3 linked regions of the Macaca fascicularis genome follow. The protein of the gene in region 2 purifies or fractionates together with the protein of the main gene of each other region. This does not show direct contact. Links are inferred from orthologs where the notes say so. Each region holds a gene or a part of one and is shown on either strand. Other genes may lie near its edges. The genes, in order: CHML, RABGGTA and CHM.

Region 1 (4,250 bases), on a different chromosome or scaffold from region 2:
CTGAAGTATTAAATGAGAATAAATCTTATCCTTCAAATTTTCTTTGCAATCAACCTCCCCAAAATGAGTTTTTCAACTACTAATTGAACTCCAATTCTTTTTGTAAATTAGAACACTGTGGTGGCGTCATTGCCTCATCAGTTACAAGAGTGAAGTGGGTATTATAAACTTCAGACCTTCACAATGAATAAAGCATCATGCAAAGCTAATCTTTTAACGATTATAGACAAACGAATTTTATTATCATATTGGCATTTGTATTAGTTGCTATTCCTACCACCATGTCTAAACATTTATATTATATGCAAAAGATCCACATAATTTACCATTTGTGTGTGTTTCACTATTCGAACAGGCCGCAGCAACTATAATAGCTGTGAAAGTAATTAAAATATTACTTGGGTATTACTAATTGTTCTGTAGACAAAGATAAAATCTGAAGATCATTAGCAAATACAACATTACCTTTAAGCTGAGTTGTTAATATGGAACCCTTACATACATACCCAATACTAAAATACAGCTAACTCTGTTTTAAGATTATGGGTCATGTAGCCCATTCTAAACAAAATGTTCAATAATCAATAAATCACTCATTGATAGGTTAACAAAGATATTCAATGCTGAATGTCTGAGAGTTAAAGACAACATCTGCATAGCATTCAACATATATAACCACTTCTAATTACTCATATGGGAAACTGTCCTTTAAATGAGAATATTCTGATGCCATGAAGGAGGTCCAAAACAGCATTTCCAGATTGCTCTTTTCTAATTTTGAAGGTGCTTCTCTGGGCTTTCTTGGTTTTTGCCTTCCTCAGAGGACTCTAGTGTGGCCACTATTACATTATTGGTTCCAGAAGACTCTGGCTGCTTATCATCGCCATCAAAGATAATGTCTTCTGGATTTGGAGGTGGAGGGCAGAATTCTTCAGTTGGAAAGATCTCCTGGAAAAGTGTTTCAGCTTGCTTGACGGCATGCTCATTTCCCAGGCCACAGTCAGGCCCAGAGCAGACATAAACATTGGAAGGCAAGCCATTATATGAGCTTCTGCTGATTCCCGAGGAATCTCTCATATTAAAATAAAGAGCCCACAAGAGTCTTGGCTTTGTAAGTTCTTCCTTGTTTATTTCTGTTTCAGTATATGGAGTGAATAATTTCTTCACCACTGATTCTAAGTCTTCTCTTGCTGTTTTAGAAGATGAACATGTCAAATGTACCAGATAGGTGTCCTTCATGCATGTCATGGTTGAAGAACATAATTCAGTGACCCGTACAGCACAAGCTCCTGGCTCTGCTGGAGGAACTATCAGAATGGAAGTCTGCTGATCTGAATCTGTCTTTAGTATAGACTGATCTGTAATGAGTACTGCCCTAGAGATCTGCTTATACTGCACATTTGAGCATGTTTCCTCAGAAAGGTAACTGTCTTCCACAATAAAATATTTAGCATTTATTCTTTGACCAAAGTGATCTATAATTGCTTTACATCGTCCAGATTCTTTGTCGACTACAAAGCATTGTACTTTATGACGAAGACAATAGATTCCACCAAAAACTGCACACATCCTACAGAAACATTGGGGAATTTCTCCTTGGCCATACAAGGGAAATAAAAAGGGAGTGTTGCCAAACCGTCCGAGACACTGAAGGAAGTTTTTAATTGCGTTAAGGCCATCTATTGTAGTGCAAGATGATTCTGATGTCATTGCAATTGAGTGCAGTACAAAATGTTGAAGGTTGGGAGTTAGTTTTTTAGTTTTTAAGTATTCTGAAAATGAACACTGCCTGAAAGCTTGGTATTCATCAGGATGTTGTTCATACTCTAAACAAAATGTGAGAAATTTCATTAGCATCCTCTTTTCAACCATGGTGAGTTCCTTGCTATTGAAGACATCTGCTCTGGAACAAGGCACTTGTTCTACCTTTCCTTCCCGAAATGCAAGAATCCTAGTGACATTTTTGAATTCTACATAACGACTAACATCTGATTTGATTAAAAGATCAATTAGCAATCCTTGAGAATATAGCAGTTTTGATACCAAATCAATATTAAACCTCCTCCCTTCTTTAACTATTTGAAGGTAAGTAATCCTATTTCTAATTGGTTGATTGGCATTATCTTCTACTGTAGATTTGCTTTCATCTTTATTTCCATCTTTATCTGAAACTGTGTGCATACAAGTTTTATCTCCACAATACTTTTCCTTCTCCACTGATTCCTCTACATCAGTTACTTCTAGTGAAATCTCTCTATCACTTTTCTGAGTGTGTTTGGCAGACATTTCATCGCTATTAAAATTTGATGACTGGCTGTCTTCAGGCAAGCCTGCGGAATCCAGAACTTCAGTGAAGGTACTAGACACCCCTGAAGAAGGATTTTTCTGCAGAGCACCAACCTCTTCAACATTGTCCTCCATATCCTGACTGGCATAACAAAAAGCTTCTGTGTGTTGGATAGTTTCATCCTTCTTGCGAAGAGAGATGGCTTCTTCTGTTTCATGGATCAGGTCCTGCCATTCAACAGTACTTTCTTCCCCAATGTCATTGTTTTGCTGATGCTCCTTCAACCAGGTTAGCAATCCTGAAAAGCTGAAACTAGCCCAGTTGCCTCCATAGTAACTTCTTGAATCAATATGCAGAACTCTCTGACCAATTCTTGAACATGCAGCTGCAAGGATGGATTCGGGCAAACCTGTCCCTATTATAACCACATCGAACTCTGTGGGAAGACTGTCCGCCATTCTAGGAAGTAAAAGTGTCTGGTGACAGTTGCTGATGAAAGAAATGAGGTGTGATTATGCTGTAATAAAATCTGTCCTTCTGATGTTCCAGTTTATCCCAGAAGCAATGAAGTTGCAGGTCCTAGCTGTTTTAACAGTTACCCTTTTAAAATATATTTTTTTCCTTATAAGTCAGTAGCATAAAAACATGAGCAAGTACATCTAATCACATCTGAGAATACTAAAATGGATGTGTGGTTTCATTTCTGTATTTCATCTTAGCAGTAAATGTCAAAATGCATCATATATGCATTTGTGACTGGAACTCTTCTCTGAAAGAAGAAAATTCAAGAAAGAATACATTGTAAACAATATAAGAGAAAAATAATTTCATGCAACAATGACAATCCATTGGAGTATGACTTCTTATTTGGACATAAACCTCCACTAAAGCATGTCTTAAATGCTTTCTCACATATTTTCTAATTTCTTGAAAATGGACAATAGAGATATAACAGCCCTCCCAAGAATCAGGCAACATAGTAATAGAGAATGAACATAATGTTCCACAAAAATAAAGAAGAAATAACATAATACAATTCTCTAACTTTAGCTTTTAAGAAAACTATCATGTGAATAAATCTATACACAGCTGTGAGCTTAGACTAAAAGGAACGTATGGCTCCATTGTTTATAGAAACAGATTATACATTAGGTACATACTGCCATGATTAAAAATATTTCTGTGGCCATTACAGTGTGTGTGTGATTCCCGAATAGCTGAATATAAGACCTTTTCATGCCACAACCACCTTAGGATCTCATGATAGCAACATGAGACTATTTCTACTCAATTACTAGTAAGATTATAATAAAAGGATTAATTCAGTAAAACAACTGGCCATTTAAAAATATTTAGGCTCATAACAGAATAGGCCTGAGGAGGAAAACCTATATATTAAAAATATGTATATGAATGTACACATGTATATAAGTGTAAGTAAAAAAGGAAAAAAAGTATGTAAGTAAAAAAGGAAAACTCCTGGTTTCAAATTAAAATATCTTAACATAAATAATGCCTACTTATTTAGGCTTGTCTAAATAAGGCTTGTCTCTGCAACCCTGAATCTCTATCCCAAGCAAAAGGTCTATGTAAACATCCTCTGCCAAGACTAATGTTGTTTGTTCTTATTTTTGAAGGGTAAGTAAAGAAAAAAAAAAGGCTCTCCTGTTAACTTTGAGCATAATGCTGGTTACACTCCATGTGCAGAAGACATCTGTGTGATGCCACGTGTGGCCAGAGGCAGAACGGCCAAGGTACTGAAGAGCATACTCACCGGAAAGTCTTTAGGCTAAAGTATTACATACACCTTACTGCTAAACTTTGTAACATTCATCACTGCACTGGTTTGAGCTCTGGTTTTCGCTACTGTTAAACCTACTGAAATATAAATCAGTACAAGCTAGACCTGTCTAGGCCAAGATGACTAATAATCCTGGATATTGGTAAAACAGGCCATTCAATT
Region 2 (4,353 bases):
CACCATGAACCTCATGAAGGTTCCACCAGAAAACCTTCCTTACAGTAGGCACAGGGAAAAAATCACAGTCTTTGAAAGTACATATGTAGGTCTATCAAATCAGACGGGCATTTTAGAGAACTTCCTCGAGGTGCCAATTGAGTTAAATTTTTTTTCTTTGTTCTGTGGAGTTCAAAAAGTTAAATCTTAAACAGGATTTACTGCAGCAAAGGAGGAGTGTAGAGAAAGGAGAGTCAAGGAGAGGGAACAGGCTAACACATTTAGGAAACTTCAAGTATTTCTGTAGGCTGTCATGAAGGGTTTTTGGCAGGGTCAGGCAGGACATACAGCCAGAGAGTAGGCAGAGCCCAAATGCCAGTAGGTCTGATGTGCTAAGCTGAGAGATTACAATTCTATCCTGAAAAAGAGCCACTCAGCACTTTCAGGCAGAGATAGGACATCAAATCTGCATTTTAGAAAAATTGATTCAGCAGCACAGAGGATGGACTGATAACAAGGGATGAGGTGGAGAACATTGAAAAGACTTTCAACAATCTGGATAAGAAATTCGGAGTTTGAACTTCTAGTGGCAGTGGGAATAGAGTATTTAAGCGAGTTTAAGAAGTGAGGAGGAAATAGTGCCACTCACTACAATAGAAAACGTAAAGGCCAATGTTTAGAGAGGATGGATGAGAGAAAATTTATACCTTTTGGCTTTTGGAGTTTGAGGTGTCTCTGGGACACCAGGTGATATCCAATAGGTGTTTGAATATGTATGTGATGTATATTATTTATTGTTATTTAAGCTTGCAAGACATCTGGGTTGGAGATATAAATTTGGGTGTCATCAATTTACAGGTAGTAATTAAAACAATGAGTGTGAATGAACTCACCCAGGGAAAGTGTAATGCCAGATTTGTGGGCCAAAACAGCTCTGAGGAGCTCCAACTCGAAGCAGTTGAACGCTTAAACATTCTCCCAGGAACAGTGTGTGAAGTGAAAAAGCAGTGAGGAAAGGACCCTTTGGAGATCACCAACATTTAGGGGTGGAGGTGAACAGATGAGAAGAGAGAGGCAGAGATGCAGGAGGAGAAGCCAGGATGGGGGTGTCAAGTATAAAGAAGTGGGTCAAATGCTTCAGAGGTTAGAGAAAATGACAGGCAACTCCACCTGTTAGATTTGACATATAGAAGGGTGTCGGTGTGGCCAGGGTGAGGTCAGTGGAGTAGTGAAGGTGCGGGTTTCTGGCTGTTGGAGAAACCTCTTCCACTAACTACACTACATTTTGAGTTGCCAACTGGCATGGTCCTCCCCACTATTTCACACGCACGGTACAGTCGCGCGTGCGCACTCGTACACACTAGGTGGCTAACAGGTACGAGGCGTTTCCAGACAGCGAGCGCATAGCCCCCGCGCACGCGCCTCCGAGCCGGCCTCCTCCGTCGCAAGTCCCTCCCCAAGCCTGCAGAGGGCGCTGCGTTTCGGTGAGCCAGGACGTGGCGCCGCTCTAGCCAGCGCCTGGGCTCTGTGGCGGGCGCCGCAGCTCCGCATCCCCCGCGCCTCCTCCCAGCGCAGGTGGGTCCGCCCGCGGGGGGCGGGGGTGCCCGGGAGCCGTGGGACGGGCGGGGAGCGGCAACCTTTGGTGCGCAGAGTGGTCCCTAACGCCCAGGTGCCCCGGCTCGGGCTCTGGCCCGGGCGAATCGGGCTGTAGGAAGGGCCATACGGATGGAAGTTCTAGTACGGGTGTTCGCCTCTTGCTGAATGTGCAAAGCCTGTCCCAGGACCTCTTTACACCCTAGGGGTCTCTGCCCAGGCACGCTTGCTGCTTCCGGGAAACCGCTGTGGGCGGTGCTAGTAGGGGGCGGGGCTACGTGATTGACACCTCTCTCCTCAGACTTCGAGGGCTACCACTGGACCCTTCCCCTGTCTTGAACCCTGAGCCGGCACCATGGTGAGAACCCTGAGCCCAGCCCTTCATCTCCGCACGCCCGCGCCCTCACCCGCAGTGGTCGTGCACTTGGTTGCCCCGTATGAACCTAGGGCTTCACAGTGTGGGGCTTTTGCAGGTCGGCTCCTGCAAGGCAACCTGCACTCTTCCAACCCGTTCATCCTTATAGCACGGACGCCTGAAGGTGAAGACGTCAGAAGAGCAGGCGGAGGCCAAAAGGCTAGAACGAGAGCAGAAGCTGAAGCTATACCAGTCAGCCACCCAGGCCGTCTTCCAGAAGGTGGGGCCCTCAGAGGTAGCCCCGACCCCAAGTAGCTCTCTTAGTATAGTATGGAGGCCAAGAGCTGGTCCCTAAAGTCAGACTGCCTAGATCCAGTTCTGGGTTCTCTCACTTATAACTGTATGACTTTGGACAAGTTGCTGGATCTCTTTGGGCCTCAGTTTGCACATCTGTAAAATGGGACTAATAATTGCACCTACTGCATAAGGCCGTTGTGAAGATTAAATGAGAGAATACCTGTAAGGCCATAAAGCATGGTTCATAGTATCTGTTGTATAATGTGGGATTCACAGAATATTGGGTGGTTTTGAGTTTACGTTATTTAGTCCTGTGGTGGGAAAGTGATATGATCTCTGACCCTGCCACCTATCTTCTCAGCGCCAGGCTGGTGAGCTGGATGAGTCAGTGCTGGAACTGACAAGTCAGATTCTGGGAGCCAACCCTGATTTTGCCACCCTCTGGAACTGCCGACGAGAGGTGCTGCAGCAGCTGGAGACTCAGAAGTGCGTAGGGATTCAGGATCTCAGAAGACTGCCCTGGCCCTGCGCCTACACTGCGTGGGTCCAGGGGTGGAGGAGGAATGGGGCAGCCAGTGGCATAGATGGAGGACAGTAGGGGGCTGGGTGCAGAAAGTGAGGGATGAGCTGAGGTTGAGTGTAGGAGAGCCCTGACCCCCCTTCCCTTCGGGGTACAGGTCTCCTGAAGAGTTGGCTGCTCTGGTGAAGGCAGAACTGGGCTTCCTGGAGAGCTGCTTGCGGGTGAACCCCAAGTCTTATGGCACCTGGCACCACCGATGCTGGCTGCTAGGCCGCCTGCCTGAACCCAACTGGGCCCGAGAGCTGGAGCTCTGTGCCCGCTTCCTGGAGGTGGATGAGCGGAACTGTACGTGCCTGCAGATTCTGTCCCCACAGCCCTCACCTGCCCACATTCTGGTACTGGGGCCTCAGTAAGGCCCAGAATGGGGAGGGATATCCAGGATGGGTCCACTGAGCTGGTGCTGAAAGGGATGTTGGAGTCAAATGCCTCCTCCGTGGAGTGCACTGAAGTGTTTCTAGGAGTTCTCTGAGGGGACTCTAGGGGTCCCAGCCAGGTAGCTCCTCTTGCCTTGCCTCTAAGATATGCTGTCACCTCTCCCCTCCAGTTCACTGCTGGGACTATCGGCGGTTTGTGGCCACACAGGCAGCCGTGCCCCCTGCAGAAGAGCTAGCCTTCACTGACAGCCTCATCACCCGAAACTTCTCCAACTACTCGTCCTGGCATTACCGCTCCTGTCTCTTGCCCCAGCTGCACCCCCAGCCGGATTCTGGACCACAGGGGCGCCTCCCTGAGGATGTGCTGCTCAAAGGTAAGCAGGGTGAGGGGTCCTCCTTCCTACAGAAGGGAGGACTCTGCAGTGCCACCCTTCCAGTCCCCATGCCTGACCCTGTTCCTGAACCTGTCTCAGGTTTATTGAGCACCTACTTCATGCCTGGCTCCAGGGGTGCCTAAGAATCAGTCCCTGACTGCAGGGAGCTCAAGTGTCTGATGGGGAAGATAAAACTGACATACATAGCCCCTGTGCAAGGACAGCATATAAGTGACACTGGGGGCTGGAAGTACTCCAAGGAGAGGGTAGGGTGTTGGAGTGGCCAGGAGCCCACCAGTGTCCTGACCACAGCACCATGCCTCCCGGAAACCTACAGAGCTGGAGTTGGTGCAGAATGCCTTCTTCACTGACCCCAATGACCAGAGTGCCTGGTTTTATCACCGTTGGCTCCTAGGCCGAGGTAAGCATTGAGGAAAGGGGCTGGGTGTTTAGGGCTTAGTAGGAATGGGAGAGGGTTTAAGGAAATCTGACACTGTGTCTCCCTGCAGCTGACCCCCAGGATGCACTGCGCTGCCTGCATGTGAGCCGGGACGAGGCCTGTCTGACCATCTCCTTCTCTCGGCCCCTCCTAGTAAGTCCTACAGCTTTTGTCAAGAGCACTGTGGGATTGTGGGCCTGGTGCTGATGGGGCTGAAGTCTGTCTTTGTGCTTTGTGCCAGGTGGGCTCCAGGACGGAGATCTTGCTGCTCATGGTTGATGATTCTCCCCTGATTGTAGAGTGGAGGACCCCAGATGGCAGGAACCGGCCCAGCCATGTCTGGGTATCCCAGGATTGGTGGA
Region 3 (3,467 bases), on a different chromosome or scaffold from region 2:
CTAAGGAAATGTAAAATCATGGTGGAAGGCAAAGGGGAAGCAAGGCATGTCTTACATGGTGGCAGGAGAGAGAAAGCGAAGAGGGAACTGCCAAACACTTTTAAACCATCAGATCTTGTGAGAAGTCACTATCACGAGAACAGCATGGGGAAAACTGCCCCCATAATCCATTCACCTCCCACCAGTCCCTCCGTAATACTTGTGGATTACAATTGCAAATGAGATTCGGGTGGGGACACAGAGCCAAACCATATCATTCTGCCCCTGACCCTCCCCAAGTCTCATGTCCTTTTCACATTTCAAAACCAATCATCCCTTCCCAACAGCCCTCCAAAGTCTTAAAACTCATTCCAGCATTAACTCAAAAGTCTATGTCCAAAGTCTCATCTGAGACAAGTCAAGTCCCTTCCCCCTATGAACCTGTAAAATCAAAAGCAAGTTAGTTACTTCCAAGATACAATGGAGTATAGGCATTGGGTAAATGTCCCCATTCCAAATGGGAGAAATTGGACAAAACAAGGGGGCCATAGGCCCCATGCAAGTCCAAAACCCGGCCAGGCAGTCATTAAATCTTAAAGCTCCAAAATCTCCTTTGACTCCAAGTCTCACATCCAGGCCATGCTGATACAAGGGCTAGATGCCCACAGCCTTGGGCAGTTCCAACCCTGTGGCTCTGCAGGGCATAGGCACTGTGCCTGCTTTCACAGGCTGGCATTAAGTGCCTGTGACTTTTCCAGGTGCATGGGGCAAGCTGTCAGTGGATCTACCATTCTGGGGTCTAGAGGACAGTGGCCATCTTCTTACAGCTCCACTAAACAGTTCCCTAGTGGTGACTCTTTGTGGGGGCTCCAAGCCCACATTTCCCTTCAGCACTGCCCTAGCAGAAGTTCTCCATGAGGGCTCTACCCCTGCAGCAGACTTCTGCCTGGCCATCTAGGCGTTTCCTAACATCCTCTGAAATCTCTGCAGAGGCTCCCAAACTTCAGCTCTTGTCTTTTGTGCACCCTCAGGCCCAACATCACATGGAAGCTGGCAACACTTGGGGCTTGCACCCTCTGAAGCAACAGCTCAAGCTGTACCTTTATTCCTTTTAGCCATGGCTGGAGCTGGAGCAGCTGGGATGTAGGCTATCATGTTCCAGGGCTGCACAGAGCAGTGGGGCCCACCCAGCCCACAAAACCGTTTTTCCCTCCTAGGGAAGATCTCTGACATGCCCTGGAGACATTTTCCCCATTGTCTTGTCTATTGACATTTAGCTCATCATTGCTTATGCAAATTGCTGTAGCCAGCATGAATTCCTCCCCAGAAAATGGGTTTTTATTTTCTCCCACGTGGTCAGGCTGCAAATTTTCCAAACCTTCATGCTCTGCTTCCCTTTTAAACGTAAGTTCCAATATCAGACCATCTCTTTGTGAACACACATGACTGAGTGCTTTCAGAAGCAGCCCGGTCACCTCTTGAATGCTTTGCTGCTTAGAAATTTCTTCTGCCACATATCCTAAATCATCTTTCTTAACTTCAAAGTTTCACAGATCTCTAGGGTGGGGACAAAATGCCACTAGTCTCTTCGCTAAAGCATAGCAAGAGTCACCTTTGCTCCAGTTCCCAGTAAGTTCCTCATCTCCATCTGAGGCCACCTCAGCCTGGACATCATTGTCCATATCACTATCAGCATTTTGGCCAAAACCATTCAACAAGTCTCTAGAAAGTTCCAAATTTTCCCACATTTACCTTTCTTCTTCTGAGCCCTCCAAACGATTCTAACTTCTGCCTGTTACACAATTCCAAAGTCACTTCCACATTTTCAGGTTATCTTTTAGCAGTACCCCACTCCTGGTACCAATTCTGTGTTAGTGTCTCTTACACTGCCGTAAAGATACTACCTGAGACTAGGTAATTTGTAAACAAAAAAGGTTTAATTAACTCACAAGATCACATGGCTGGGAAGGCCTCAGGAGAGTTATAATCATGTCAGAGGGTGAAGGGGAAGCAAGGCACATCTTACTTGCTGGCAGGAGAAAGAGAAAAGGGGGAACTGCTAAATACTTTTAAACCATCAGATCTTGTGAGAATTCACTATCACAAGAACAACATGGGAACAGTCACCCCCATAATCTAATCGCCCCCTAACATGTGGGGATAATAATTTGAGATGAGATTTGGGGGGGGGACTCAGAACCAAACCATATCAAGTCTCTATGAGATATCATATAAGCAATATTAAGGCAATTGTATTTCTTTCGATATGTAGAATGAATGTGTTTCAGTTCTCAACAATCTGAACACTTGATAATGAACCTGATGAGATACTACCGTCCTTGAAGTGTTGACCTGAATACATGTATAGAATTAAAGGGAGAAGTCACAGAATTCTGAAAACAGACTTATAGAAGTTCATGTATTCTGATAAAGTACTATAACCTGCTTAAGGAAAATTTTAAGGATAACACTTAATTGTTTTTAGTTAATGCCAGAAATGCACACAGATTTTAAACCGATTTCCAAAAATGATTTATCTTTTCTTCCTTGGCCAGGCTGAAACACTTTTCCAGGAAATCTGCCCCAGTGAAGATTTCTGTCCCCCTCCACCAAATCCTGAAGACATTGTCCTTGATGGAGACGGTTTACAGCCAGAGGCTTCAGAATCCAGTGCCATACCAGAGGCTAACTCAGAGACTTTCAAGGAAAGCACAAACCTTGGAAACCTAGAGGAGTCCTCTGAATAATGGATATACACCGAACTGGATACCCAACTTTGGAAATTTCTACTGGTCTCAGAGTCTACTTGATAGAAGGACTGTTTGAAAAATGTTAGAAAGCAACAGCAATTATAAGGCAAAATAGGTAATAGAAATCCAAAAGGGGATTTTCCTTATAGAGGACGTTACAAGAACACACAACACTTACAAAGCACATTGACTTGCTCATTTTGAATACCAAACTTGTGTGACTAGCAGATGAAAATTATAAATCAATTGATTCTCAGGAATGTAACTGTGGATATGAAAGTGATCCTATGCATTGTTAATAATTCCGTGGTCTTAGGACAATTTTGCTTACCACTATGGATCTTTGTTTGAAAGCCACATTTTCAGAACCAGCTCACATATTTTCTTTGGTTATTTGAATTATATTTTCTTTATGGACAAGAGCATCATAACATAATGATAAAAACATATAGAAAAACTAAAGTATCATGATCTAGATAGAAGCCTGTATTTAGAATACAGGTTTGTTTTGTTTTGTTTTGCTTTCTATGTTGAGAAGCATTGAAAATGCTAATACAAAGGTGTTTAGACATTGTTAAGAACAAGTCAGTAGTGTTTTTTAGTATCAGTAGTGATATTTGTTTGTAAATTATTTACATATTGGGAAAGGTCAATAATGAAGAAGTGAAAGAATGGAAGGAAATGTGTGGATAGGCTCATTGATATTTGGATGTTCTGTCTGTCAAATAACTAGAGTAT

The links.
Region 1: the proteins of RABGGTA (region 2) and CHML purify together in Homo sapiens (co-immunoprecipitation; 3 studies listed by BioGRID and IntAct, counting the BioPlex papers as one, with this or other methods). This does not show direct contact. The link is inferred for Macaca fascicularis from reciprocal best matches to the Homo sapiens genes RABGGTA and CHML.
Region 3: the proteins of RABGGTA (region 2) and CHM purify together in Homo sapiens (co-immunoprecipitation; 4 studies listed by BioGRID and IntAct, counting the BioPlex papers as one, with this or other methods). This does not show direct contact. The link is inferred for Macaca fascicularis from reciprocal best matches to the Homo sapiens genes RABGGTA and CHM.

Annotation. Positions count from the first base shown.
Region 1 is NC_088375.1:7,536,704-7,540,953, reverse strand, and holds the start of CHML (rab proteins geranylgeranyltransferase component A 2), read right to left. Parts: upstream 2,843-4,250; 5' UTR 2,777-2,842; coding exon of another isoform or gene 2,746-2,776; coding exon 772-2,745; 3' UTR 1-771. UniProt on the Homo sapiens protein: Substrate-binding subunit (component A) of the Rab geranylgeranyltransferase (GGTase) complex. Binds unprenylated Rab proteins and presents the substrate peptide to the catalytic component B.
Region 2 is NC_088381.1:92,086,052-92,090,404, reverse strand, and holds the start of RABGGTA (geranylgeranyl transferase type-2 subunit alpha), read left to right. Parts: upstream 1-1,499; 5' UTR 1,500-1,554; exon of another isoform or gene 1,555-1,792; 5' UTR 1,793-1,927; coding exon 1,928-1,930; intron 1,931-2,045; exon of another isoform or gene 2,046-2,096; coding exon 2,097-2,207; intron 2,208-2,585; coding exon 2,586-2,764; intron 2,765-2,901; coding exon 2,902-3,089; intron 3,090-3,348; coding exon 3,349-3,552; intron 3,553-3,889; coding exon 3,890-3,973; intron 3,974-4,061; coding exon 4,062-4,144; intron 4,145-4,232; coding exon 4,233-4,334; intron 4,335-4,353. UniProt on the Homo sapiens protein: Catalyzes the transfer of a geranylgeranyl moiety from geranylgeranyl diphosphate to both cysteines of Rab proteins with the C-terminal sequence -XXCC, -XCXC and -CCXX, such as RAB1A, RAB3A, RAB5A and RAB7A.
Region 3 is NC_088395.1:92,472,192-92,475,658, reverse strand, and holds part of CHM (rab proteins geranylgeranyltransferase component A 1), read left to right. Parts: intron 1-2,534; coding exon 2,535-2,709; coding exon of another isoform or gene 2,710-2,726; 3' UTR 2,727-3,467. UniProt on the Homo sapiens protein: Substrate-binding subunit of the Rab geranylgeranyltransferase (GGTase) complex.